4 linked regions of the Caenorhabditis elegans genome follow. The protein of the gene in region 1 interacts with the protein of each later gene in a pairwise test. Each region holds a gene or a part of one and is shown on either strand. Other genes may lie near its edges. The genes, in order: skp-1, tfbm-1, pho-11 and eif-2Bdelta.

Region 1 (6,756 bases):
TGATACGCAAAAATTGTCCGAATTGTACTCATATTTTGCCAATTTTGACTTGTTATACCAAGTCTGTAAGAGTTTTCCTAATTTTTAGAACGATTTTATAATGCAAATTTTAAATTCCTAAAAATAGGGAACAAATGGAGGGGTGCAAAACTATTAGAGGTGCAAAACTAATAGAGCGTGCAAAACTAATTTTCGATTAGTGATTTTAGATGCAAAACTAATGGAGGTGCAAAACTAATAGAGGTGCCTAACTATTTAATAGAGGAAATACGGTAAATTTCAGTTTTAGCCAGTTGAGAGAGGTTGAGCCGCAGGCTCGATCGACACCGTCCGGTTAAAAAGTTAATAGAATCTTTTTCCATTGAATCAAAGTTATTGTTAATTTGTTTAGTTTTCAACAAACTCATTGAGTTTCCTGTCTTCTTGGAGGTTTTGGTACGCGCGCACGTGCGCTCTACTGACCAATGGCCGTGGCCTAGCTTTCTTGGTGGCTGTATATTTCAGCGCGAAATTCGTCAGTGCGACGCGAGCTACATTTATTGATTTTTCAACATTTTATTCGATAAATGTTTTCTGAGATTTGTTTTTCATTTATATTTAAATACACACTGAAAAAATAAAACCACGTGGCGTGGATGCGCGAATTTCATGAAATTAAACTTCATTTTCGAAATCTATTAAAATACGCCACGAAGTTTTATTATTTTCAATGTAAGTCTCGTTTTATCTTTTCCTTTTATCAATCGATTTCAACGCTTTCAACTTATTTTTTTGGAATTGTGGTTTTTAGTTCAAATCTTCTTAACTGTATTTCGAATTTTTAATCTCTACCTGTTCGAAATAGATTCCTCAAGATTAAGATACCTAGTTGTTTTTCATTGATTTCAGAAAATGGCACCCGGGACCAAAAAAAAGTCGGATATGGCAAAATTCACATTCTACAAAGATCGCTTGATGACATTCAAAAATTTCGAATATGATAGAGACCCGGATGCAAAATGCACGTCTCAAGCGGTTTGTCCATTTTCGTGTTTTAAATAAAATTATTCTTGTTTTAGGTTGCTCAAGCCGGATTTTACTGCACCGGTCCTCAGTCTGGCAAATGTGCATTTTGCAACAAGGAACTTGATTTTGACCCAGAAGACGATCCGTGGTACGAGCACACGAAACGTGATGAACCGTGCGAGTTTGTACGGATTGGAAAGCTCGATGACTCGGAATTAACTATTAACGATACCGTTCGTCTCTCACAAACCGCCATGATTATGACTAAACTCTTTGAGCATGAGATGATGATAAATAATTTGTCTAATCATTCTTCTTCTGATGCTCTCTTCGATCAGCTGAAAAAAGTACCGAACACAGCATCGACAACAAAATCTAACAGCCGCCGCGGCAAATAATTTTTCTACATCACTTACTGCAACTTATCCAATTATTGATTTGATCTCATATACTCGATTTAATCACTGTTCAATAAACACTTAATTCATTATTTTATTATTCATTCAATGTTTTTGTTTTGAAATTATAACTTGTGTTTCATCGGCACTACAATATCTTCCAGTTTTGTATTTGATTCTTTTTTTGTCTAAAAAAACAATTTCAGGACAGTATTTCATCAGGATGTCGATGAAACTACGAGAGTGAGTGTATTTCACTGATTATCATGTAAAACCAATGTTTTTTAGTATCCTTCCTGCTCCTGTGGCGGCAGACGAAGCAGCTTCACAGATTCGACGAGATCCTTGGTTTGGTGGGCGCGATAACGAACCATCCGCCGCACTCGTATCGAAGGAACCACCGCCGTACGGAAAACGGACCAGTTTTCGACCAAGAGGGCCTGAAGTGAGATTGAAAATATTAATATTCTTCTTAATTTTTCTTTTCCAGGATTTTGGCGATGGCGGAGCGTTCCCTGAAATTCACGTTGCTCAGTTTCCTCTCGGATTAGGTCTTGGAGATATGAGAGGAAAGCCAGAAAATACGCTCGCCTTGCAATATGGAACTGATGGAAAGTTACAACACGATGCTATTGCTCGTATCGGACATGTTAAGGATAAAGTTGTCTACTCCAAGCTTAATGATATGAAAGCCAAGACGTGGAACGAGGATGATGATGATATTCAGAAACCAGACGATGACGCTGTTATCGATGCTACGGAGAAGACAAGAATGGCTTTGGAAAAAATCGTAAATTCAAAAGTAGCCTCAGCACTTCCTGTTCGTCATGCCGACAAGTTAGCACCTGCTCAATATATCAGATACACTCCAAGTCAGCAGAATGGAGCTGCTGGATCACAACAGCGCATCATCAGAATGGTTGAAGAACAAAAAGATCCGATGGAACCACCAAAGTTCAAAATCAATCAGAAGATTCCTAGAGCACCACCATCTCCACCGGCACCAGTCATGCATTCTCCTCCAAGAAAAATGACAGCTAAAGATCAAAACGATTGGAAGATTCCACCATGTATTTCAAATTGGAAAAATCCAAAAGGATTCACAGTTGGGTTGGACAAACGATTGGCTGCTGATGGACGTGGTCTCCAACAGACTCATATTAATGAAAACTTTGCGAAGCTTGCTGATGCTTTGTACATTGCTGATAGAAAAGCTCGTGAAGAGGTTGAGACACGTGCTCAGCTTGAAAGACGCGTTGCTCAAAATAAGAAGTCTGAGCAAGAGGCTAAAATGGCAGAAGCCGCAGCAAAAGCCCGCCAGGAAAGATCAGCGATGCGGAGAAAGGACGATGAAGATGATGAACAAGTCAAAGTTCGCGAAGAAATTCGACGTGATCGTCTCGACGATATCAGGAAAGAAAGAAATATTGCTCGTTCACGACCAGATAAAGCTGACAAGCTTCGCAAAGAGCGTGAAAGAGATATTTCGGAGAAAATTGTGCTTGGTTTGCCGGACACGAATCAGAAACGAACTGGCGAACCACAGTTCGATCAAAGATTGTTTGATAAAACCCAGGTTTCAGTTCCTTCTTCGATAAAATTTAACTAATATATTTATTTTTCAGGGACTCGACAGTGGAGCAATGGACGATGATACTTACAATCCTTATGATGCTGCGTGGCGTGGCGGTGACAGTGTTCAACAGCACGTTTATCGACCGAGTTAGTTTTTCTTGCTTATTTTCAAATATAAATTAAAATTAGTAACGGGTCTAGGTATTTTGAATGTATATATATATATATACCCACAATGCTCTAAAATGAACGAATTTCATAATGAAACGTTCCAGAAGTTTTTCAAAAAAAAAGTTTTATGGCGTTTTAAAATTTCAAAAAAAAACATTATTTTAGCTGAAATCTTATTTTGGCAGTTTATCTTATGCTATTCTAAGGTACATTTAAAATCGAAAGGTTACCGAAATTGATTACCTATGTTTGCTTAAAAAGTACCTCAATTGACGATATTACGTGATATTAAAATTTAAAAAAAGATTATAATTCAAAAAAAATCATTTTTGAACCTCTGCGACACGAAAAATTCGCCAAAATTGATTCATTTTTTCTAAATTTCGAACCGCCATAAAAATCTAAACGTTCAAAAATAACTAGAACCGTTAGTTCTTTAATATTTCAAAATTGAAATGATTTCCTAATGTATGTCTGAACTGAGGAATTTGTGACATTCTAAAATTTATTGTTTTTCTAATTCATTGGTGTTGGAATTCACAAAACTCTTTGATGATACTGATGTATTTGACTTTCATGTCCGTTCTGGTTCATTTGTCGTTAAAAATAGAATCACAACTTAGGTGCCTAGTATTTGATAAGACGTTTGTAGTACTGCAGTCATTACGATTAAAATGACGTTATGCAAATACGAATTTCGAAAATAATTGTATTTTTGTCAAAACAGGAAGAAATGACGATTTATAAAACTTTTGCAGGCAAAAATCTCGACAACGATGTTTATGGTGGCGATTTGGACAAGATCATCGAACAGAAGAATCGGTTTGTAGCTGATAAAGGATTTTCAGGAGCAGAGGGCTCGAGTCGTGGATCTGGACCTGTTCAGGTTAGTCAGTTGATCTGTTGTCAGAAATTTTAACTACGTTACTAAAATAGCTGGGAATTTTGAGAATTTGGGCGCTGGCTCGTTGTTGATGAGCGTCAAAAATTGACTGATAAGTAACGACGAATTGAACCAATTCGTTGATTTGTGCGGTCATTATCATAAATGGATCATTAATTTACGTCATTCCGAAAAGACACGCACAGCAGTGTGTTTTGGAAGTAGAAAAGATTCTTTACATTCTTGGTTTATGAGCTTCAATTGTCGTGCGTAATATGTTTGACATTATTGATAAAATAAGATTAAAATAATTAAAATATGTCAAAGTTCAGTTTTCATCCATTCTCTTTATGGTCGAAATGAACTATTGATGTATTTTAACTCACGATTAATTTGATTGTAAAAGTTAACCAATTTTAGATATTCTAATTAGAGTTATAATAAATAATTATGGATTCATCAATATTGTAGTTTTATACAATGCTCAGAGCTTATTGAACAAAAACTAATTATATCTTTTCTATCATAGCCGATTAGCTTTTCTTTTTACTTAAGTTCGGGATGCAGATTCTCTTCAGTTTAACACATAAAATGTATTAAATTACTTTACTGTTTCTAGTCACATTTCGAGCTGAACGATCAGCATTTTATCGAGTTGTGTCTACGGAGGCTGGTGTTTGCGAGCATCTTTCATAACCCAATCACTATCAGTACTTACGAAATATCACGTCTTATCACCAACAAGCCAGAAGCATTAGAACCAACATGTGATTTACTCTAAAAGTTGAAATGACTGAAATACTAGACAGAACTAGAGCGGTGTTGACTATATTTCGGTCTATTTTTAGGAAATGATAACTTTTTGCTCCGAATATACGTGTAAATGAAACAGCTCAAATCAAAATTTCACTCTCAAAGTGGCATTGTAGTTAAAAATACGTATTGCATTTTTTAACAAAAAAATCTTAGTTTTAGTTTTCGCTTATTATGAAAGTGGACGAAATAAACAGTTGTCCTCCCAGTTTTTATAGTATTTATTCGTATTTGGAAATTCTAGGGATCGAACCTGTAGAAATAATCGAAATTTATCAAAAAATTGAAATTTTTGAAAAATTTGGCATTTACTATATTGAAAACACCAATTTTTCAAATGTTTAAACCATGTTCATAGTTTAGATTTGAACAGGAAACGTATTTTTTTTCCGGAATTGTTTGCAGCGAACTCGGGGAGCTGGGTAAACTTTTTCGGCGAAATGGTGTTAATTGTAGACTAACATCTAAACTGAGTGATAAGCAGTAAGCGGATAAGCCAACGATCATCCGTGTCGATTTATAAATTGGTTCAAGCAGCGTTCAAAGGGCAAAACATTAGATGATGATGATGACAGAAAATACGATTTTCATGCCATTTTAAGAATGACAATGATAATTCTAGTATATTTCATGACAATATTTCCGAATCGTGATTGTGCATGGCATAGTTTCGAAATTTCTTACAAAGTTTATTATAAACTTATCAAGAAAATGATGACGATGCGGAATCGTCTAGAATTACAGGACAGACACGATGGCGGCCGATTTGGCATGTTTGCGTGTGACGATCGAATTGTTGCAGAACGCGTAGAAAATGCTATAATCTGGTCAAAGTGCATTTGATTCCAACGAAATAGTTTATACGCATTGAGTTTAACTGTGAATCGAACGTTATTGAAATTTAGAAAATTCCATCTGCGAAATTGAGTGTGTGGACCCGTAGTATTCAGAAATATATGTATTTACTGAATTATTTTTTTGAAACCTAATTTCTAAAGATTTCATAAGGAAATTGCATAAAAGATGCTCTTAAAATGACTGTGACTACTTCTAAAATTTACTTATCAATGAGTCATAAAACATTAAATGTCACTGTGCATTTATGAATCACTACAAAATGTTAACCTTTTTATTTCAGTTCGAGAAGGATCAAGATGTTTTCGGATTGTCATCACTTTTCGAGCACACCAAAGAAAAGAAACGAGGTGGGGATGGTGGAGACTCCCGTGGAGAATCAAAGAGGTCTCGACGCGACTAATTTTAATATATTTTTTATTTGTTTTCTGTTATTTTTTCTCAACTTCTTTTTTGGAAAGAATCTCTGTAACTCTTCTGTAGTTGGATGTTTGCACAAAGATGAATCAAAACCGTGTCAATTTTTATTAATAACATTTCGAAAGAAGACCAAATTATGTCAGCAAAGAATGAGCGAATTTGAAAAATTATGGCAAAGAGGATTCGGGAGAGGGGAATATTGAAGATGTTCTTAGGAATGGTTGATTTGATTATTGAGTTGCAAAATACTGATCAAGAAATCTTTTTGAGCATTTTCTTGTTGAAGACCACTAACTGCTTGCCGGAGAGCTTTTACTTCCAACTCGAGTTGCTCCTTCTCATCATGAAGACTTTTCACATTCTCCACCTTTTGGCGCATTTGAGCACGGTACTGGCGAGCATAAAGACGGCGATGACGCTTCTTTTGACTGTGAGCATCTTGTCCATCTGCAATTTCTTGTTGTGGTCGACCACGACGGATTTTACCAGGAGCAGCAGAACTTTCAGTTGAAGAGCATCTCTGAAAATACAAATAATATTACAAGATTTTGAGAAAATATGATATGCTTACCGAGCTGGATGTGGTAGATGTTCCCAAAGAAGCAGAACTTTCAAATGGCAAAACAGGCAGATTGA
Region 2 (7,538 bases), on another chromosome or scaffold:
AATCTCAAACTTACGTTACTGCGGATTTTTCATCAATCTAAATTGCAATTGCCGTAGTTTTTCTTTAAAAATATATTTAAAACTAAGAATATCATTAAAAACACTTAAATAAAAATCTCGATTCCGCAGCAACAAAAATTTGAAATTACAGTACACTTTAAAGATGCACAACTCTTCGCATTTTATTAAAATTTGTCGTGTCGAGACCGGGTACCGTATTTTTGCAGCTGTGTAATAGCGAAACCAACAAAATCAAATTTTCCTTTCCATCAATTCCCCACTTCAAAATGTTTGAATTTTCCCGCCGCAAGTAAAACAATTTTAGGCCAAAAGCTTTCTCTCTTTTAAATTTCGCTCAAACGCGCTCTGCTGTCACTCCATAGCGCCGCTGGTTGAAAATAATAAACTTTTTGTGTTGTGTCACGTTATTTTTTTTGCGCGTCGAGTCTTTCTCGATTCTCTACTAACACTTTGTTCATTTTTAACAACAAAATTTTCGTGCCGCCATGAAGCTAACATCTGTCATATTCAACAGTTTCGGTACATTCAGAAAAGAAAACTTCTCGATTAAAAAAAAAATAATTCGATTTCGTTTCAGTTCGAAAAATGCCGTGCCGGCCGATTGTGCTCTCCGGACCATCGGGTGGAGGAAAAAGTACGATTTTGACGAGAGCCATGCAGGAATACCCAAATAGCTTTGCTTTCAGCGTTTCTCGTGAGTTTTTGGCAAAATTTGATTCCAAATTTCGAGAAAAAACCTCATTTTTGCTCAAATCTTAAATTTTTAATCACCATAAAAAATTTTTGAGTAATTTTTGTAAAGTTCCGGTATAAAATTCGTTTGTCTGGGCACATTTTGTGTATTTCCAAAAAAATTAAATAGTTTTACAGACACAACGAGACAGCCAAGAGCCGGTGAGGAGCACGGAAAACACTATTACTTCACGGAAAAGGAGAAGATGCAGGAAATGATTAAAAATAACGAGTTTCTGGAGTTCGCCACGTTTAGCGGAAATACTTATGGAACTAGGTTGGTTTTTGGAATCGAATATTTTTGGAACAGAACAAAAAAATTTATTTTTATTTTTACAGCAAGAAAACCGTCCTAGAAATCGAAAATAGCGGAAAGATCTGCGTTCTGGATATTGAGTTGCAAGGAGTTCGAAACATCAAGAATAGTCATCTCGACGCCAGATACATTCTGATCCGTGCCCCATCCATCAAGCTTCTCGAGGAAAGACTCAGAGCAAGAGGAACCGAAACCGAGGAGAGCCTCTCGAAGCGTCTTCAACATGCATCTGAGGATTTAGTTGAAAGTGAGCGTTTTTTGCCTTTTTTGAAAAAAGAAAAGTAATATAAATTTTAATTTAATTTGTTTTCAGTCGAAAAAAATCCAACGCTCTTCGACAAAGTGATTGTGAACGATGATTTGGAACGTGCCTATAAGGAATTCGTCGATCTTCTTCGTGATGATCTCGAAAAAACCTCCAAAAAATAATAAATTATTTTTTAAAAATTGTCTCTATTCAGTCATTCCTCCAATTTTTTCTGTCTTGATGAACTTGAGTGTCTTCTGGTTGTGGTAGGTACTCTTTATCTCTCTCTTTCAATACACCTCTTTCAAATTTGCTTTATTCCAACAAACTTTGTTCCCTTTTTTTATTTATTGCTCCCTCCTTTTTTTTTGCAATTCAGTTTTGTCTTCTTTAGTCAACTTCTCAAGTTATTTTCTTTTTGTCTCATTCATTTCATAATAATTATTTGATTTCGTATTAATACGTATTGAATACAATAATTTTGGTTTTTAAAAAACTGTTCCAAATGGCAGATACTATTTTCAGTGAGAATTCGGATTTTTTTAGAGAAAAAAATCTGAACTATTTTCATAGATGGCTTCTGCTTCACGTCTCCCGCCGCTCCCGGCACTACGAGATTTCATCCATATGTACAGGTTGAGAGCGAAGAAAATTCTTTCGCAGAATTATTTAATGGATATGAATATCACAAGAAAGGTTGGATTTCTGAAATTTTTTATTTGCAAAATTCCAAAAAATTAATTTAAAAATTAAAAATTTTCCGGTTTTTAAATCAAAAATATTACGGGAACTCAAAATTCTGAAAATGCGTACTACACAGCATATTTGACGCGCAAAATATCTCGTAGCGAAAGATACAGTAATTCTTTAAATGACTACTGTAGCGGGCTCGACAATTAAAAAAAAAATTTTTTTTGAAAATCGAGCCCGTAAATCGGCACTAGCGCTACAGTAGTCATTTAACTAAATTTTCGCTACGAGATATTTTGCGCGTCAAATATGTTGTGCAATACGCATTCTCAGAGTTTGTACGGTAATTTTAGTTGAAACAGAGCGTGCTCCTTTAAAAAGTGTGGTAGTTTCAACATTTTTTCTTGAAAAATTATAATTAGTAAGTGAAAATGTATTTAGATAAACAAGAAAAATACTGTAGTCTTTAAAAATTTTTAAATTTTTTTTGAAAATTCAAATTTTAAGTCCCATTTTTGCAACTAAACAACATTAAAAAATTTTTAAAAAATTCAAATTTTAAGTCCTATTTTTTCAATTAATTTTTTTTAACTTTTAGAAATTTTTTCCAACATTTCGAATTTTAATTCCCATCGCAATTTTTGAAAATTTCAAAGAATCAAATATAAAAATCTTCTATAATTCATTAATTTTCAGATAGCAAAACACGCAAAAGTGATCGAAAAAGACTGGGTAATCGAGATCGGACCGGGTCCTGGCGGAATTACACGAGCAATTCTTGAAGCTGGAGCCTCGAGGCTTGACGTCGTAGAAATCGATAATAGATTTATTCCGCCGTTACAGGTTTGTCATTTTTGGAAATTATAAATTATTATCAAAGGGCAAAGTGTGTGTGTGTGAACTGATAAGGAATCAAAATCATGATGACGGAGCGTTTTACCGGAAAAATGTTCTCGGAGAATTTCGAAATTAGTTTATTTTGAGGGAAAATGGAAAAAAAAAAATGAAAAATCGAATTTCAGCATCTCGCGGAAGCAGCCGATTCTCGAATGTTCATCCATCATCAGGATGCACTTCGAACGGAAATTGGAGATATTTGGAAAAATGAAACCGCGAGACCCGAATCTGTGGATTGGCATGATTCAAATCTACCTGCAATGCATGTCATTGGGAATTTACCATTTAATATTGCTTCACCGCTTATTATTAAGTAAGATCTGAAAAGATGTGTAGAAATTAGAAAATAAATAAATAAATAAAAATGTTTGCTTAAAATTTGGATAAAAAACAAAAAATCCAATTTATCAACAAAAAACCAAACAAAAAATCATTTAATTTTAAACGGGACAAAACGGATAATTTTCAAAAAATATTAGAACCGAAGAATTTTTGTTGACTTTTGTGTTTATTGGCCCCAAAAAACCAAAAAAGCCATGTTTCTTTAAACAAAACCCCAGAAAAACAAATAACAAAAGCCCAGGTACCAAAAAATAATAAAAAAAATTGAAATTTGCGAAATACCAAAAAAAATCCAAAAAAATAATTTTGATGCTCGAATTTATTTAAAAACAATCCTGAAAAAGTGAAAAAATGTTTGAGATCTTTTTGTGGTCTAGAAAAATAAAAAAAAATTTTTTTTCGTCAAAATACCAGCAAAAAAAAAAACAAAAATTAAAATTTGCGAAAAACCAAAAAACACCAAAAAAAATTTGATGCTTGAATTTTTTTTTCAAAAAAAAAACAGTGAAAAAGTAAAAAAATTTGTTGGGTTTTTTTTTTTGGTTTTTTTGGTAAAAAAACCGAAAAAAGTCCCAACCCTGGTGGGAATTCAAGCCTGCAAACTTATATTTTTATAGTTCCAGATTTTCAAGCAAAAAAAATATTTAGCATTGCATGCTTTTATTTTAGAACCCTTTTTTTTGGTCTAGAAAATACCAAAAAATACCAACAAAAAAAAACAGTTTTGGTCAAAATACCAAAAAAAAAGCCTAAAAACTCCCGGCCCTGTACGTGATACAGAATTTTCCGTGATGTATCAACCATTTCTAGGTATCTCCGTGACATGTCATACCGACGAGGAGTTTGGCAGTACGGTCGAGTTCCACTAACATTAACTTTTCAACTGGAAGTCGCCAAACGTCTGTGCTCTCCGATCGCCTGTGATACTCGGTCTCGTATCTCTATTATGTCTCAATACGTGGCAGAGCCTAAGATGGTTTTTCAGATTTCCGGTAAGTTTTTTTGCTCAAATTTCAATCCAAGAAAATTCAAATTTAGGAGCGTCGTCGCGAAAATTTTAGTTTTCCTATGACCCTTAAACACAACTTTCTGGACCCCTTTCGGTATCCTTTTCCAAAATTTATAGGTAGTAGGGCAGCGGAGTTAGAGCGGAGTTACAGCGGAGTTTTAGCAGTCGATGAGAAGTTCTCGTCTGCAAAATGCCCCTCACCGCCTTGAGAACTTGAAATTCCCAATAATTAGAAGCATTATGTCATTACACGGCAGCCGGCAAAAATTGATGTCGCGTCGGCGACATTAAACATGCGCGGAAAATTAAATAACGACTTTTATTGCAACAGTTCGCATGCCAACGCTACATTGTTTTTTGTCGGCTGCAGGTTATCTATAGATATGTTCTCCGAGTAATCATTATTAGATCCTTCGGATGGAAGGGGCCACGGGTCTCCGTACCCGTCAAAGCCCAGTTGGAGAGGATCTCAAAAAATCACGCAACTCCTCGAAGGCATTTTAAACCAACTGAGCAATGCTCCCCGTCCCTTAATTTTGGAAAATGATTCTGAAAAGGATCCAAAAATGAAAACCAAGATGAAACCCAGAATTTTGAACAATTTGAATCAAAGATGTCAAAGATGAAAAATCGAAATATCGAGAAAAATGTTTAGAAAATCAAAAAAAAAATGCTGTAAAACACAATTTGATGAGAAAACGTGATAAGAAAATGCCCAAAAATTCAAGCAATTCTCAAAAATCGAAAAAAAAATTTTTTTGAACTAAATAAACTTTTGGATTTTACAGAAATATAAAATCTCTCTTGATCCTAATCAAAGCTAAATACAAAAATCGAAATTTTTCGTCAAAAACACGAAATCAAACTGAAAATTTTGTTTGATTGCTTTATTTTTAATTTTAGGAAAAATTTGAAAAAAGGGAAAAGTAATTAAAAAAGTTGCGAATATCGAAAACATTTTCAGGCTCATGTTTCGTGCCAAGACCTCAAGTTGACGTTGGAGTTGTTCGTTTCGTACCACGGAAGACTCCTCTAGTGAATACATCGTTTGAAGTTCTCGAGAAAGTTTGTCGCCAAGTGTTCCATTACCGTCAAAAGTATGTAACAAAAGGATTGAAAACTCTGTATCCTGAGGAATTGGAAGACGAGCTTTCAGATGATCTACTGAAAAAGTGTCGAATCGATCCGACGACAACGTCGATTCGGCTCGGAATTGAACAATTTGCGGATCTTGCTGAAGGTTATAATGAGCAGTGTATACGGTAAGACACTCTGACAGATTTATGTGAATCGTCGCGAGACCCAACAAAAAAAAGTTGAGAACCTTTAAATGTGTTTCTTTTCTGAAAAAAGTAGCAGCTGACTTTGCGTCAAGCAACTCAGCCGTAGAATAAATATTTGAAGAAAAAATAAACTGAAAATGTTCTCTCAAAATTTGGAAGGATGATTTTTTTACACGACGATCTGTCGATTTACGCAGTCTGTGTACTCCTCGAGGAGAACTGCGAGTTAATTGTGTTCAAAGAATATCACATTTTTCGGCTGAAATTTTCGAATTTTGATTTTTCGCGCTAATCAGGTTTGTATTACGGGAACGCAACATATCTGACGCGAAAAATATCTTGTAGCGACAACTACAGTACCTCTTAACTGACTACTGTGGCGTTTGTGTCGATTTACGGGCTCGATTTTCTAAATTAATTAAACTCATTTATTCATCGATAGCATATTAAAATTAAGCAAAAATGAGAAAATAAAATCGACACAAGAGCTACAGTAGTAATTTAAAAAATTACTGTAGTTTTCGCTACGAGATATTTTGCGCGTCAGATATGTTGCGCGATACGCATTCTCCGAGTTTTGTGATCCCGTAATATTGAAAATGCAAAAATTATTTACTGAAAGCGCGAAAAAAACCTAAAACCTGTACAAACTTCTTCTCGGGGAGTACACAATCGACACATGATCTCAATTTTTAATAACTTCCTCGTGATAAATGAATGATACGCACACAAATATATACTCAATCCTCCAAAATGTGCACTCGTGAGTGAAACAATTTTGAAGAAATCAGTGCGAATTGATCTCTCGTGGCCGGGAAAGTTTCGACAAATAGACAGATTATTCGATTTCGAGCATCAAACACCAAAACACAGACCTTCTTTCAATACTACACAAACGTCACATTTTGGTATTTTTCGCCGAAAAAGTACGGTATCAGGTCTTGACACGACATATTTTTGTTTAATGCAAAATAAAACGGAGCAACAAAAGTTTGAAACTACAGTACTCTTTAAAGGCGCACACGATTTGCATCTAATAAAAGTTTTAAACATCGAGAATGATTTCGAAGATATTTAACGATACATTTTCAAGAACTGCAAATTAGAAATTTCTTGAAATAAAAATGCCTTTAATATCTTTAAAAATAGTATATTTCACAATACCAACTAATTAAAAATTGAATTGAAGATTCTGATTCTTTTTAGTTGAAATTCAATAATTTTTCATTTCAGATATCCGGGCTTATTCCTCTATGACTACACGAACAAGCTGCATAATCTGGAAGATTTATCAAAAGAACCCAATGCTCTTCCACCTCCTGTACCCATCTTTGCACCGGCTCCGACAATTGACTCGGCGGACAACACGTGGTCGCTCAAGAATTTTAATTGTTCATAATTTTGTTATATTATAGATTGTTTATTGTTGAGATTGTTTAGATTTGTTATAAATTTTGGAAAGATAAAACATTAAGAAATTGAAAGAATTTTAGGAAGTGACTTTGTTGATGTACTCCTTGAACTCATCGAAAGTGATTTTGGAGTCTCCGTCTTTGTCGGCCTCCTTGATGACTTGAATCAAAAATTTGAGGTTCGTCTTGAACACGGGATCCTTCTTATCGTCCTTCTCAGCTCCCAACAACATGCAGATCACATCATCTTTGCTGATGAATCCAGACATATCCTTGTCGTGGAGAGAAAACATCTCACGGAGTTCATGTTCTGGAAATAATTAGAAAATTTATAGAATTTGGCAACAAAAAAAAAGATAAAGCTCACCCCAAGTAGCCATGACGGAAAGTTCAAGACTGAGCTTCACTCGAAAACCGTTGGAGGCGGGTAGGAGGTGCCGAGTGGGTAAATAAATGGAAAAGCATCTCAGAGAAAAAGAAAAGAGAGAGAATGTTTTGTCAATTGATTGTTTGTTTTACTAATTTGAATTTTCGAAAGTCGTTGTTTGTAAGTGTCAAACATTGACGATTAGCAAATGAAAACAGGACA
Region 3 (4,684 bases), on another chromosome or scaffold:
AAACACGTTAAAAGACAAAGTAACAATGATTACGGTAGCCAACGGAGCGTGACTAACTCATTGAATCCAGAATTTGTTGGGGTAAGCAGGGCATTCATTATTTGCCATTTTTTAATGTTTAAAAGTTTATATCATCGCAGTAAAAGTAACTTTTACATACTGTAATCCAAACATTGACTGATCTAATCCGATAATAGTTTCAGAAATGGGATGACGAGACGTATGGAGATTGGCCCACCATCCAGAAATCAACATAAATATCCAATTTTAGTCTTCTACTAGTTGTTTTTACCGTTTGTATTCATATCAAATTTTCATGATGATCTTTTGTTTCCATCTCCAAGCTTTCACTTTTTGGTTGTTTTAATTTTTTTTTTCTGTTGAAATTGAGTGTTTTTTTTCTGTTGAAATTGAGTGTTCCATTTTTATATGAAATGGATTTTGTCTGTCTTGGAAATTCTTTTGAAGACATTGAATCACAGAAGAATGTTTAAACATTTTCAGAAATTGTACGGAAAAAGTTGGGACCAAGAGAATTATGGTAAAATAAAACTTGTAATATGTATTACAATTTAGAAATAAAAAACTATAAATTTTCAAAGTTGGTTTTAAGTGCGTACAATATAATAGCCATTAAAAAGATATAGAGTAACCATGAAGAAAAATTCAACTAATACCTTTATTTTTCTAATTGAGAACTAACAGTTCAAATCCTTTAATGGATACTTTACAAATTAACTGTTGTTTTTGTTGGTAGGACTATTCACGAACGAACTAAAAAACGCATTAAATGGCTCTGCCAACTTTAGTCAAATTTTTTAACAGATTAATGCTTTTTGCAAACTCTCGCTATGCATTGGCGGTGAGAGACGCAGATAATACTTTTTTCTCTGGACGTGAAAAACACAAAGGATAACCGTTTTGCCATCTGCGTCTCTTCTTTCACACGCTATTTTGGCGGTGGACGAGGAATTCTCCTCTTCCAGGATTTTCAAGGCCATTTGCTCACATTTCTCAAGTTTTCTTGTCCGCGAGAAAACATGAATTTTGAGGCAGCCAGCGAGCACGTGCCAAAAATTTTTGGTAAACTTCGCCCTGTGCCAAGACCTAATCAGGATGTGCCTAACGCCTGCCCAAGATCTGGAAAACGCAAAAAAATATATCTGGAAAAAATACTAAAAACTAAAAACATGAATAGTTCTGACAGAGACTGTTTCATGAATTTTGCAACATTCGATAAATGGTACTTTCAAAAGTGCTCAAAGATCACGGCCATGGTCACAAACTTTTAGATAGCATATATTTCGACTTTAGACCAGAATTGATAAAATATCCATTCGATAAGAAAAAATGTTGCAGACCTAGTTTGTTTACATATTCTTTCACACCAATTTTATGAGTTCAGTCTATCATCACTCTGAAAAGTACATGGCTTTATCATGTAATCACGAGAAAATCGAAACGCGGGATAGTTATATCTATTAAACTGACCATATTTTTATTCATTTTCTATCTGAAGATATGATTTTGAAACAATTTTTATGGTTTTTTTAACGAGCTCAACTCTTTAAATAGGTTGTTCTGATATAGGAACATTTGTAGATCAAAAATTATGATGATCTCAATTTTCAGTCTGTTGGCTTCAACAGCCATTTTGGTATTTGCTAATGGGCAGAGCAATGTCAAATTGGAGTTTGTTCAAGCGGTAAGTTATATGAAATCCTAAATGCCAAATTTAGTCCTCAGTGAAAGTTACTTGGGTAGTACAATTTATTTTTAATTATTTCAAGATGTGGAGACACGGAGAACGTGCATCTCAAGTTGATCAATACCCAATTTACGAAAAAGATTGGATTTATGGAGGAGGTGGTCTCGGAGAGCTGACTGCAATTGGAATGGGAGAAATGAACGAACTTGGATGGCTTATTCGTAAAAGATATGTTACTAAATTGAAGTTTTTGACACCAAAGTATGCGTCCAGAGAGGTATACCCTAAAAATGTTAGAACGTGCCAAAATATGATTATTTCCAGGTATATTTTAGATCAACTAATTTCAATCGTACCATTATTTCGGCACAATCACTTTTGTACGGGCTGTTTCCACCAAGCTTGTATGATGTCAAAAGTAGGTTGTCAAAAAATTGATTAAATTTTTTATGCCAAACGGTTCAAACTTAAAGCCAATATGACTTTTTCTGTTGAACGAATAGATAAATTTAGTCCAGTGATATCTTTACTTTTTAATTTTTCATATTGAAATTGTCTGCACGTCTCTTATAAAATTAGCAAAAATCCAACTATTATATTACCTCTAATGCATTAGTTTTGATGATTACCATATTCAGACGTTGACTATCCATACTCCCCACTCACTTGGTTCCCTGGATTCACGTTTGTTCCAGTTCACGTCGATGGTCCGGATCAGTGTGTATGTTGTAAATTTACATTGGTTCTCGAGTAGTCTTAAATAATCTTACTGCGCGTGCCAGTTAAAATTACAAAATTATTACAAACCTTTCCAGGCCGCTAGTCAGAACTGTCCATGCACAAGATACGATCTTCTCCAAGGGCAGATGTTGACTCTTCCGGAAGTTTTGCCAAAGTATACGCAGGTAAGGTTTGATTGAATTATACTATCATCGGTAACCGTATTCACGTTGTGATGGCTTTGTCGGTAACTATGAACAGGCGCCTAAAATGCCTGCCTTCCGCCTAGACGCTTGCCTACTAGTAGACCTACTGTCAAGTTTTTCGTGAACGATTGTTCATTTATCATTCGATCAAATGCGTAAAGCTACAATATGTGAATCTCAAATATTGTAGTTTAAATCCTGACTGCCTGAATGTAGAAAATAGACGGTAGGCAGGCACGTGCCTCCTCTGAATTTCAATTTTTAGGTGGTCCTACTTAACCGTCGTGTCGGTGGATATTACAACATGACATCTGGCCTAGACTCCTTCACAACATACCCAGATACGTGGAAATGCCAGAGAGCATATTTCAACAGAACTATGTACGCGAAGCTTCCATGGTACAATGAAGAACTCTACTATCAAGCCCAAGTTACATATGCTCCGGTTAAGGGATTTTTAGAGGGAAATTTTGGTTAGTTGGGACGAGATTAAAGTCTCAGTGAAGCTTGGTTTCAGAGAATCCTGCTGTCACTTCTTCCGGGCTCGATGTGGGTCTTGAAATCAAAAAAGTTCGATCCGGAGTTATTATCAATGAAGTTTTCAATCGTGCCAATGAAAAATTGAATTGTGCAGAGCTGGGACAAAACTGCACTAGCTATTTGAATAAGCTGAAATTCTATGGATATTCTATTGTAAGAGATTTTAAAGTTTACTCCATAATTTAAGTTCAAAAATGCATGATATCTAGCCACGATCTTACCGTAGTTGGGAATACGGTAGACTACGGTAGTATTACTGTACTTGACTGGAAGTTAAGTATACCATCATAGTAGGTAGGAATCTGTTCATCCCTAGCTACCTCTGCCTACCTCATGCCGAGGCACCAGTCAAGGCTTGTCGGAATGTAGGCAAGCATTGTAGGTAACTCTAAGAAATTGAAATATAAAAAAAAAGAAAAGAAAAGCTAGTTACTTTTCATGCGAATTTTTTCAGGATTTTCAGAAAAAAAAATTTTGACAAAAAAAATGTTTTTTTTAATTTTTGAAATCAATTTTCCAAGATCTCACAACAAATTCGTTTTCCAGCATGACAACAATGTGTACGGTGTCCTGGTTGCTCTTGGTATTCCACAAATCGCTAACACACTTGACGGATGGCCAGCATACGCAGCTGGAATATTTATGGAATTCCACAGAAACACGTCAACAAACGAGAGATTCTTCAAGGTATTCCAGAGAGAAACCAGAAAATTCGAACAATTAAATTTTCAGGTTCTGTACCGTGAAGGAGATGACACTCCGATTTCTGATGTGACAAGTCAACTTCCAATTTGTAATGGAGCCACCTTGTGTCCACTTGGAGCTCTTCAGACTTTGGCCGAGACACTGAAGCCACTTCCAGATATTACTACTGTAAGCTCTTGTTTCCAAAAATTTCGACTTTATAAAAAATTTTCAGCTCTGCAAAACTCCTCTATGAATTACTGGAACTGTAATTTTTGTTGTAACTCAATTTTTATATTTTTTTATGAACTATTTCATTAAAACTCTTTTTGTTCACACAATCCTAAACCGGTATTATAGGCAAAAGACAAAAAAGTAACAAACAACGGACTAAAGAAGTATTTACACATTTCACGGAAATTTGTCAAAATTGACAAATTATCCTTGATTAAGAGGAGCCTGTCCCATTGGCTTCAGATTTTCGGAAATTTCGAATTTGCAAGCGGTGAGTTTCTTGATATCATCTACAGTAAGATCCTTCCTGACTTCGATCAATGTCAATCCGTTCTTTGTGTCCACGTCGAAAACTGCCATATCAGTAATGATTCGGGAAATTACTCCTTTGCCGGTCAGAGGAAGTTCGCAGTGCTCTAGAATTTTTGGCTCTCCGTTCTTCGATACATGCTCCATTACAACGATCACACGGGCTCCGGGAGCAGAGACAAGATCCATTGCACCGCCCATTCCTTTCACCAATTTTCCCTGGAAAATTTTAGAAATTTATTAAGATGGAAGATTAAGCGGAAAAGTATATTTTTATGAAGTT
Region 4 (5,993 bases), 2.1 Mb from region 1:
TCTTGGACCCTATATTAGACTTTATGGAGATGATTCTTTTCTCAAGTTTCCAAAGCTTTGTTTTCTGAAAAAAAAAACTTCTAAATGCATGTTTCATCGTATTTATTTTAATATTGAATTAAGGCAGGGTTGGCTTAATTTATTGAGTAATGAAAAACTTTTTAAAACTTCAATGTTTCCAATTTTAGATCTCTGTTATATATGTTCTCTGACTATCAAAAATTAGTTTACTGAACTTAAATGTCTATGTGATTTAGAATTGACACTCTAAATTTCACCTGTTTGTATTCTTGCTCAAAACTCAAAAGGTCATTATGATTTTAGTCACTTAATTGGTCAACTTTTAATATGTAAGATTCTAATGTGTAGATTTTGTGAAAATAAACGAATAAATCAGGGATATATTGTTCTTGTTTCGGATTCTCAATTGCACTGTTTGCTGGACACTTTTTTACCGTTACGGTACAGTTAACACGTGAGCATTGACACATTTTCAAAGTGTTTAGTGTGCACTTTTTTTCAGAAACTTCCGTCGAAAATATCATTCGGGAGTTGGCCAGCTTCTCCCATACTGGTTCCCAATTGTATGCAGCATTCTATGGGGATTCATTTGCTTTTACTGTTATGGAGAAACTTCGGAGAGAAGATCATTTTTTAGGTGAGAATCATGGTTGACTGTGTTCTAAAATAAGTATTATTCAGGGCTAATCTACTTGAAAACTATCGTATTGATATCGACGATTATGCATATATGAGTGCAAATTTTTGGCCTTTAGATAAATTTGGAAATACAGCTCCTGATGTAAAATCATTCACAGGGGTCGTCGTGATACTGATCATTGTGGTAAATAATACGGATTAAGAAAAAAACAACTAAATTTTCCAGGGATCTTCATTTTGTAGCGTGCTCTTTTTTGGTATAAAATGCTATAGGTGTATATCTAAAAAATTGAAGAGCACTGGTATTATATCTGAAACTTCGAGAGCCCTTCAGAACCAGTTACTCCAGGCACTTGTCGTTCAAACGGCCATACCATTACTTCTCATGTATGTACCCGCCGGAGTATTTTTCACAGCTCCAATGCTGAATATCGAATTGAATTTGAAACATCCTATAATTGGGCATGCTGTTGCTTTGTATCCGGTTTTGGATCCGCTTCCAACTATTATTATTATCAAATCTTATCGACAGGGATGCATCGAGACTGTTAAGAAAATTATTTGTTGTGGACAGAACATGCCTATTGTAAGATGGATTAACCGACAGGAGAATAACGTTAATCCTATAAGTTACACGATGAGCAACTGAGTATTCGGCTTTTTTTTAAAGATTTCCTGACACGAGTCAGTATTGACAAGTATATAATCTTTTTAATTTCAAAATAGTATTTTTTAGTTCAGTTATTTTGAATTCTTGAATAAAATGCATGCATTGTTGTTATTGTTGGAATTAGTGCTTAGAATTTGCATTGTGGCACTACGCATAGCATCAAAATGTTTAATACTTTCATTTAAAGAATATTTAATGATTTCCTGTTACAAGAATTGAAATTTCTTCTCTAAATTAAATTAATTTGTCGATTTCCAAAAATACAACAAAAAAATAAATCAACGCGCACATAATGCGCCAACAGAGATTGCTGACGTACTTTTCGTGCATGACGCGTTTCTCGTGTTTCATTTCAAGCGTTCGGACACCAGCTTTTATTCTCTTTATTTTAATATTTTCTTGTAGTTTCGTCTGTAAATATTCGTTTAAATGAGCGATAAAAATATTAATACTGACAAAAAGCATCCTGCTGATAAATTAAAGGTTTGATTTTTTATTGTGAAATTGTGTTTTCAACGCTTTACTCAATTTTTGTTGCACTTGAGAATTTTTTGGGTTTCGTCGTCCTGAAAGTTTCTGCCGCCGCGAACGAACTTCACAATAATCTTCATTTCAAAGTACTAACAATCTATCTCATTTTATCTATGTCGTTAACTCAGAAACCATTAGACTTTGCATCAATATTTCAGGAAACTTTCGAAAAGCTGAACAACGAAGTAAAGTTACTTGGAATGATTCTCGGAGTAAAAAGTGAAAATAACCAGCAAGTGGTTCCGCCAACAACTGCAGAAGAGCCAGCTCAAGGTGAAGACAAAAATCAGTATCACGTAAGTGTTTCATAAGAATTTTAAGCAATAAATCTAATAATTTTCAGAAAGACGTGACTGCTGAAGATAAAAAAGCGAGAAAAGCAGCCAAGGCAGCTGAGAAAAAAGCGAGAGGTATCTTATTTATCTTTTTTTCCTAAAAAATAAATTAATTTTTTCAGCTGAAAAATCTGTAGCCAATAAAGCCGCCGCCGCCGCTGGGAGCACTCAAAATCAAGGGCAAAAGAAGGAAAAACCGCCAAAAGAGCATTCAGCAGTTCCATCTGAATCCACTACTAAACTTATCGAAGAAAATGCACAGCTCACGAAAACCACAGAACAGCTTGCAGCGAAAATGGAAACCTTGGTGATTGAAGATGTGAAGATTAATGGAAGTCTAAAGCCGGCGATAAAGAAATCTACTGGTGTTGAGAAAAATGTTCGACATGTTCATAACGTTATAATGCCTTCTGTGGTCACATTTGGTGAGTTTTTGATAATTTAATTTATTAGATTTGTTCTTTTGAAGATCTTCCAAAAAATCAAACGAAAACGTTGCCGTCTGCATCTGATTCTGACGAAGCAGTAGCATCAGAAATTGAATCAACAGCAATCGCCCAATTGGATGATGCGACGTCTTTTGTACACATTCATCCTGCATTCTTAACGCTTATGGCTAAAGCAGAATTGGAAAAAATTCCAGATGTTGAAACAGTTTGTATTCAATTTATTGCTGCTTTCAAAGAGGTAAAATATTATTTTTCAATCAAACTGTATAATTATTTTATTTTAGTTTCTGCGAGATTGGACAGTAGAACGAGAAAAGAATAATATCAATGCTTCCACATTCGGTCACGACCTCGATTTGGCTATTCGTCCACAACTTGCTCATATGACTCAAAATGGTCACTGGCCATTGCCATTTGCACTTGGGAATACAGTTCGATTGTTGAAAAGAACAATCAAACGACTTGAGGAAAGCACTAATATGAAGTGTGAAGAAGAATTACAAGTTTATCTGGAAGATACTTTGGCTATAAATTTCTGTCACGCGTACAAAGCCATCAGTCAACTGCTTGTTCGCAAAATTCAACAATTCAAAAAAGTTGTCGTGTTCGATTGGTGTCCTGTTGTGAATCATGTTCTTCTGGAAGCCAAACAACAAATTCCTGATATGCAATTGTCTGTTATTGATGCAAATTCCAATGGACGAGGTACGCGGCATGTGAAGAGTTTCGTAGATCAAGGATATAATGTCAAATACGTCACAATGAAAGGAGCTTCATGGGCGTCCCTGGCAGTGAGTTTTTTTTTAAAGCAGTATCGGTTCTAAGTGGTCTCAAATGCCAAAAAGAGCATTAAATTTGAAAAAAAAAGACAGACGATTTTTAAATTTTTGCTAATCTCCTAATTTGAATTGTCTCGCTTTTGTCTCTAAACTCCCCCAATAGAATCGAATTTTTCCAATTTCGACGAAACTTCTTTTTTTTTTTGCGGTTTTTTTCTGAATTTTAATAAGAAAACGATCATAAATATTAAAAAATATTTTTCGTATTTTTAAAGAACAAAAAATAACGTGTTTCTTGTAGAATCTCCGAAGGGTTAAATATTTTTTAATTACATTTTTTTTTGATATGAAAAATTTTTTTGGACATTTATTATATTTAAAATTTAGATTAAAATTTAGAAAACAGCGCAAAAAAATTATTTTCGTCGAAATCGGAAAAAAAAAACCGAAAGTGCGGCACGGCTGAAAAAGAGCGGTAATTAAAAAGAAAAGATTAACAAGAATTAGACATCAATTAATGTTTTTTTTCTTTTGTGGCATTTCGGAATTTGGGACCTGTTTGAGAATTTTACAGTGAAATTCCCATCTCAAAATGATATTTTCAGAGTGGAGTTCTCATTCTCGGATGTTCTGCTATTTTTGCAAATGGTGCTGTTGCTGCACGAAAAGGAGCATTGGCTGTAGTTTTGTGTGCTAATCACTACAATATTCCAGTAATTGTAGTTGCTGAACATTTCAAATTCATCGATAAGGTTTGTGATTTTTTCTACCTTTTTATTGGGAAATGAACCGAAACAAAAAATAGTTTATCGCTTGATTTGTTCAATGATTTGATGGGATGAATCGTGTACTCTCACGTCGACTAGTCACATGGTTTTGTTAAATGGCACGTTGATTTATGCTGATGACCACGAGATCGGTCAATGAATATGTACTGAAAAATTTTGAAAAGCAAAGTTATGATAAGAACTCAAAGAACGGATATTATGAACCTTTTGATCTGTCTTTAGAAATCTGCACCTGTAAAGTCAGATGTTGAATTTTTGTTGAAAAAAAATTAATGATCGATCATTAAAACATCTAAATTTATTGTAGTAGAGTTTTAGATTGGTTGAATACAAATTTAAAGGTGGAACACCAAAATCTGAAATTTTGCTTTTTTTTTTGTAATGAGACGTTATGAAAATTTCCCAAAAAAAAGTATTGCGGTTCAAAGTTTTGAAAAAATAATTTTATTTTCTTTTTTTCAAAACTTTGAACTGGTATAACTTCCTTTTTTTGGAAATTTCAGAACTTCTCATTACGAAATTTGGTAGTTTCGGGTATTTTTTGGTCTATAAAAGAAAGGTCGCAGATTTCGGTATTTCACATTCAAATAATTAAAATAAAAAAACACTGGTCATAACAAAATCAAACACAATTATATTTTTTCAGGGGCAAGTCTATCAGCGAGTCGCTCTTCTTGGCCGTCAGAATATTGAGTGCATCCAATCGGATCTTGTAACTGCTGTCGTAACAGATCTTCGAATCCTTGGACCAACATCAGCTCCAGCAGTTCTCAAGGCAAAGGCGTTGACTGATATGGCTTAATCAATCTAAAAACTAGAATTAATTTGAAACCACGGGTTAATCTGTTGTCGTCTTACGTTAGTTGATTCAATTTTTCGGTTCTTATGTAGTAGCCGTACCGTGAGAGATTTCTGACCAAGTTTTGAAAAATTTCCCGTTGTCTTGTTTTTAATAATTTAACTGTTTTTTTGGTAGTTTTCTAAGATTCATGATTTTGGAAAGAAATTAATTGAAAATTTGGGAAAAATATTTTTAGGATACGGCTAATATATAAGTCCATTTTTTCAAAACGGTATCCAGATTTAAGTATTTTTGCTTCCATGTGCCCTCTAACTGTTTCTTTTTGTTCTGTTTTAAATCACCAATATCATGTTTTCATAAATTTTTATTGTTCCTTTTTAAAATTTAGAAAAATAATAACAATCACCCGTCGTGTTCTGTTGTTGAGCTAAATTAGATGTCTAAACTATTTACAAATACAGAAAAACCAGAGTTCCAAAGATTAAAAGAAAAGAACAAATGGAACGAGGGAAGCAATAGAGATCGACAGAATCGATGAAGCTCTGATAAGTGGAGCTTGTACCAATTTTGGATGTGAAATTGGTTGATCAGCGACTGAATTGCTTTGCGCTACGACATCAGTGTTCTTTGGTGGAATTGATGGGGTTGGCATTCTGTATGTCTTGATATCAGCACAAACTTGTGGCCATTTAGCAACAGCATTCGTATCAAGTGCCATTTTTTCCATGCTTGCAAATGACTTACGAGTTAGGTCAATCACAAGTTGAGCAGTCTCCGAATCACATTCATGTGCAATTGTTGGAACATCACAATGAAGAGTACAAGTGATATATTCACATCCTTGAGCCAAATATTGTTCAGCCTTTGTAGTATCCCCGCTGAGCACAAGATTCTTGAAATTTTCAGTCATGGATGAGATGGCATTGTGATGTGGAGTACATGTTTTGACGCATTCCTTATTTGGCTTCATTTTGATAAG

Evidence for each region.
Region 2: the proteins of skp-1 (region 1) and tfbm-1 interact in a two-hybrid assay, tested with the Caenorhabditis elegans proteins (one study listed by BioGRID).
Region 3: the proteins of skp-1 (region 1) and pho-11 interact in a two-hybrid assay, tested with the Caenorhabditis elegans proteins (one study listed by BioGRID).
Region 4: the proteins of skp-1 (region 1) and eif-2Bdelta interact in a two-hybrid assay, tested with the Caenorhabditis elegans proteins (one study listed by BioGRID).

What each region holds. Positions count from the first base shown.
Region 1 is NC_003283.11:11,643,872-11,650,627, forward strand, and holds skp-1 (mammalian SKIP (Ski interacting protein) homolog), read left to right. Parts: upstream 1-1,609; 5' UTR 1,610-1,626; coding exon 1,627-1,646; intron 1,647-1,691; coding exon 1,692-1,848; intron 1,849-1,893; coding exon 1,894-2,979; intron 2,980-3,028; coding exon 3,029-3,125; intron 3,126-3,907; coding exon 3,908-4,035; intron 4,036-5,983; coding exon 5,984-6,103; 3' UTR 6,104-6,219; downstream 6,220-6,756. Other genes in the region: Chromosomal passenger complex protein bir-1, read left to right, coding at 892-1,014, 1,059-1,403; Transcription factor zip-10, read right to left, coding at 6,332-6,640, 6,692-6,756.
Region 2 is NC_003279.8:3,853,644-3,861,181, reverse strand, and holds tfbm-1 (Dimethyladenosine transferase 1, mitochondrial), read left to right. Parts: upstream 1-1,889; coding exon 1,890-2,012; intron 2,013-2,702; coding exon 2,703-2,849; intron 2,850-3,028; coding exon 3,029-3,216; intron 3,217-4,055; coding exon 4,056-4,237; intron 4,238-5,218; coding exon 5,219-5,516; intron 5,517-6,770; coding exon 6,771-6,936; 3' UTR 6,937-7,021; downstream 7,022-7,538. Other genes in the region: guk-1 (guanylate kinase), read left to right, coding at 599-715, 892-1,030, 1,093-1,316, 1,383-1,498; T03F1.11 (EF-hand domain-containing protein), read right to left, coding at 7,027-7,259, 7,317-7,329. UniProt on the Caenorhabditis elegans protein: Probable S-adenosyl-L-methionine-dependent methyltransferase which specifically dimethylates mitochondrial 12S rRNA at the conserved stem loop. Also required for basal transcription of mitochondrial DNA.
Region 3 is NC_003280.10:9,930,251-9,934,934, forward strand, and holds pho-11 (Putative acid phosphatase 11), read left to right. Parts: upstream 1-1,598; 5' UTR 1,599-1,612; coding exon 1,613-1,705; intron 1,706-1,790; coding exon 1,791-1,985; intron 1,986-2,032; coding exon 2,033-2,126; intron 2,127-2,346; coding exon 2,347-2,429; intron 2,430-2,523; coding exon 2,524-2,613; intron 2,614-2,899; coding exon 2,900-3,107; intron 3,108-3,151; coding exon 3,152-3,327; intron 3,328-3,720; coding exon 3,721-3,861; intron 3,862-3,906; coding exon 3,907-4,047; intron 4,048-4,093; coding exon 4,094-4,114; 3' UTR 4,115-4,181; downstream 4,182-4,684. Other genes in the region: C05C10.2 (DNA2/NAM7 helicase-like C-terminal domain-containing protein), read left to right, coding at 1-81, 198-257; C05C10.3 (putative succinyl-CoA:3-ketoacid coenzyme A transferase, mitochondrial), read right to left, coding at 4,297-4,620.
Region 4 is NC_003283.11:9,512,158-9,518,150, forward strand, and holds eif-2Bdelta (Translation initiation factor eIF2B subunit delta), read left to right. Parts: upstream 1-1,666; 5' UTR 1,667-1,759; coding exon 1,760-1,813; intron 1,814-2,019; coding exon 2,020-2,157; intron 2,158-2,204; coding exon 2,205-2,271; intron 2,272-2,318; coding exon 2,319-2,621; intron 2,622-2,665; coding exon 2,666-2,883; intron 2,884-2,929; coding exon 2,930-3,436; intron 3,437-4,029; coding exon 4,030-4,176; intron 4,177-4,858; coding exon 4,859-5,014; 3' UTR 5,015-5,492; downstream 5,493-5,993. Other genes in the region: C50F4.8 (CPG4 domain-containing protein), read right to left, coding at 5,496-5,993.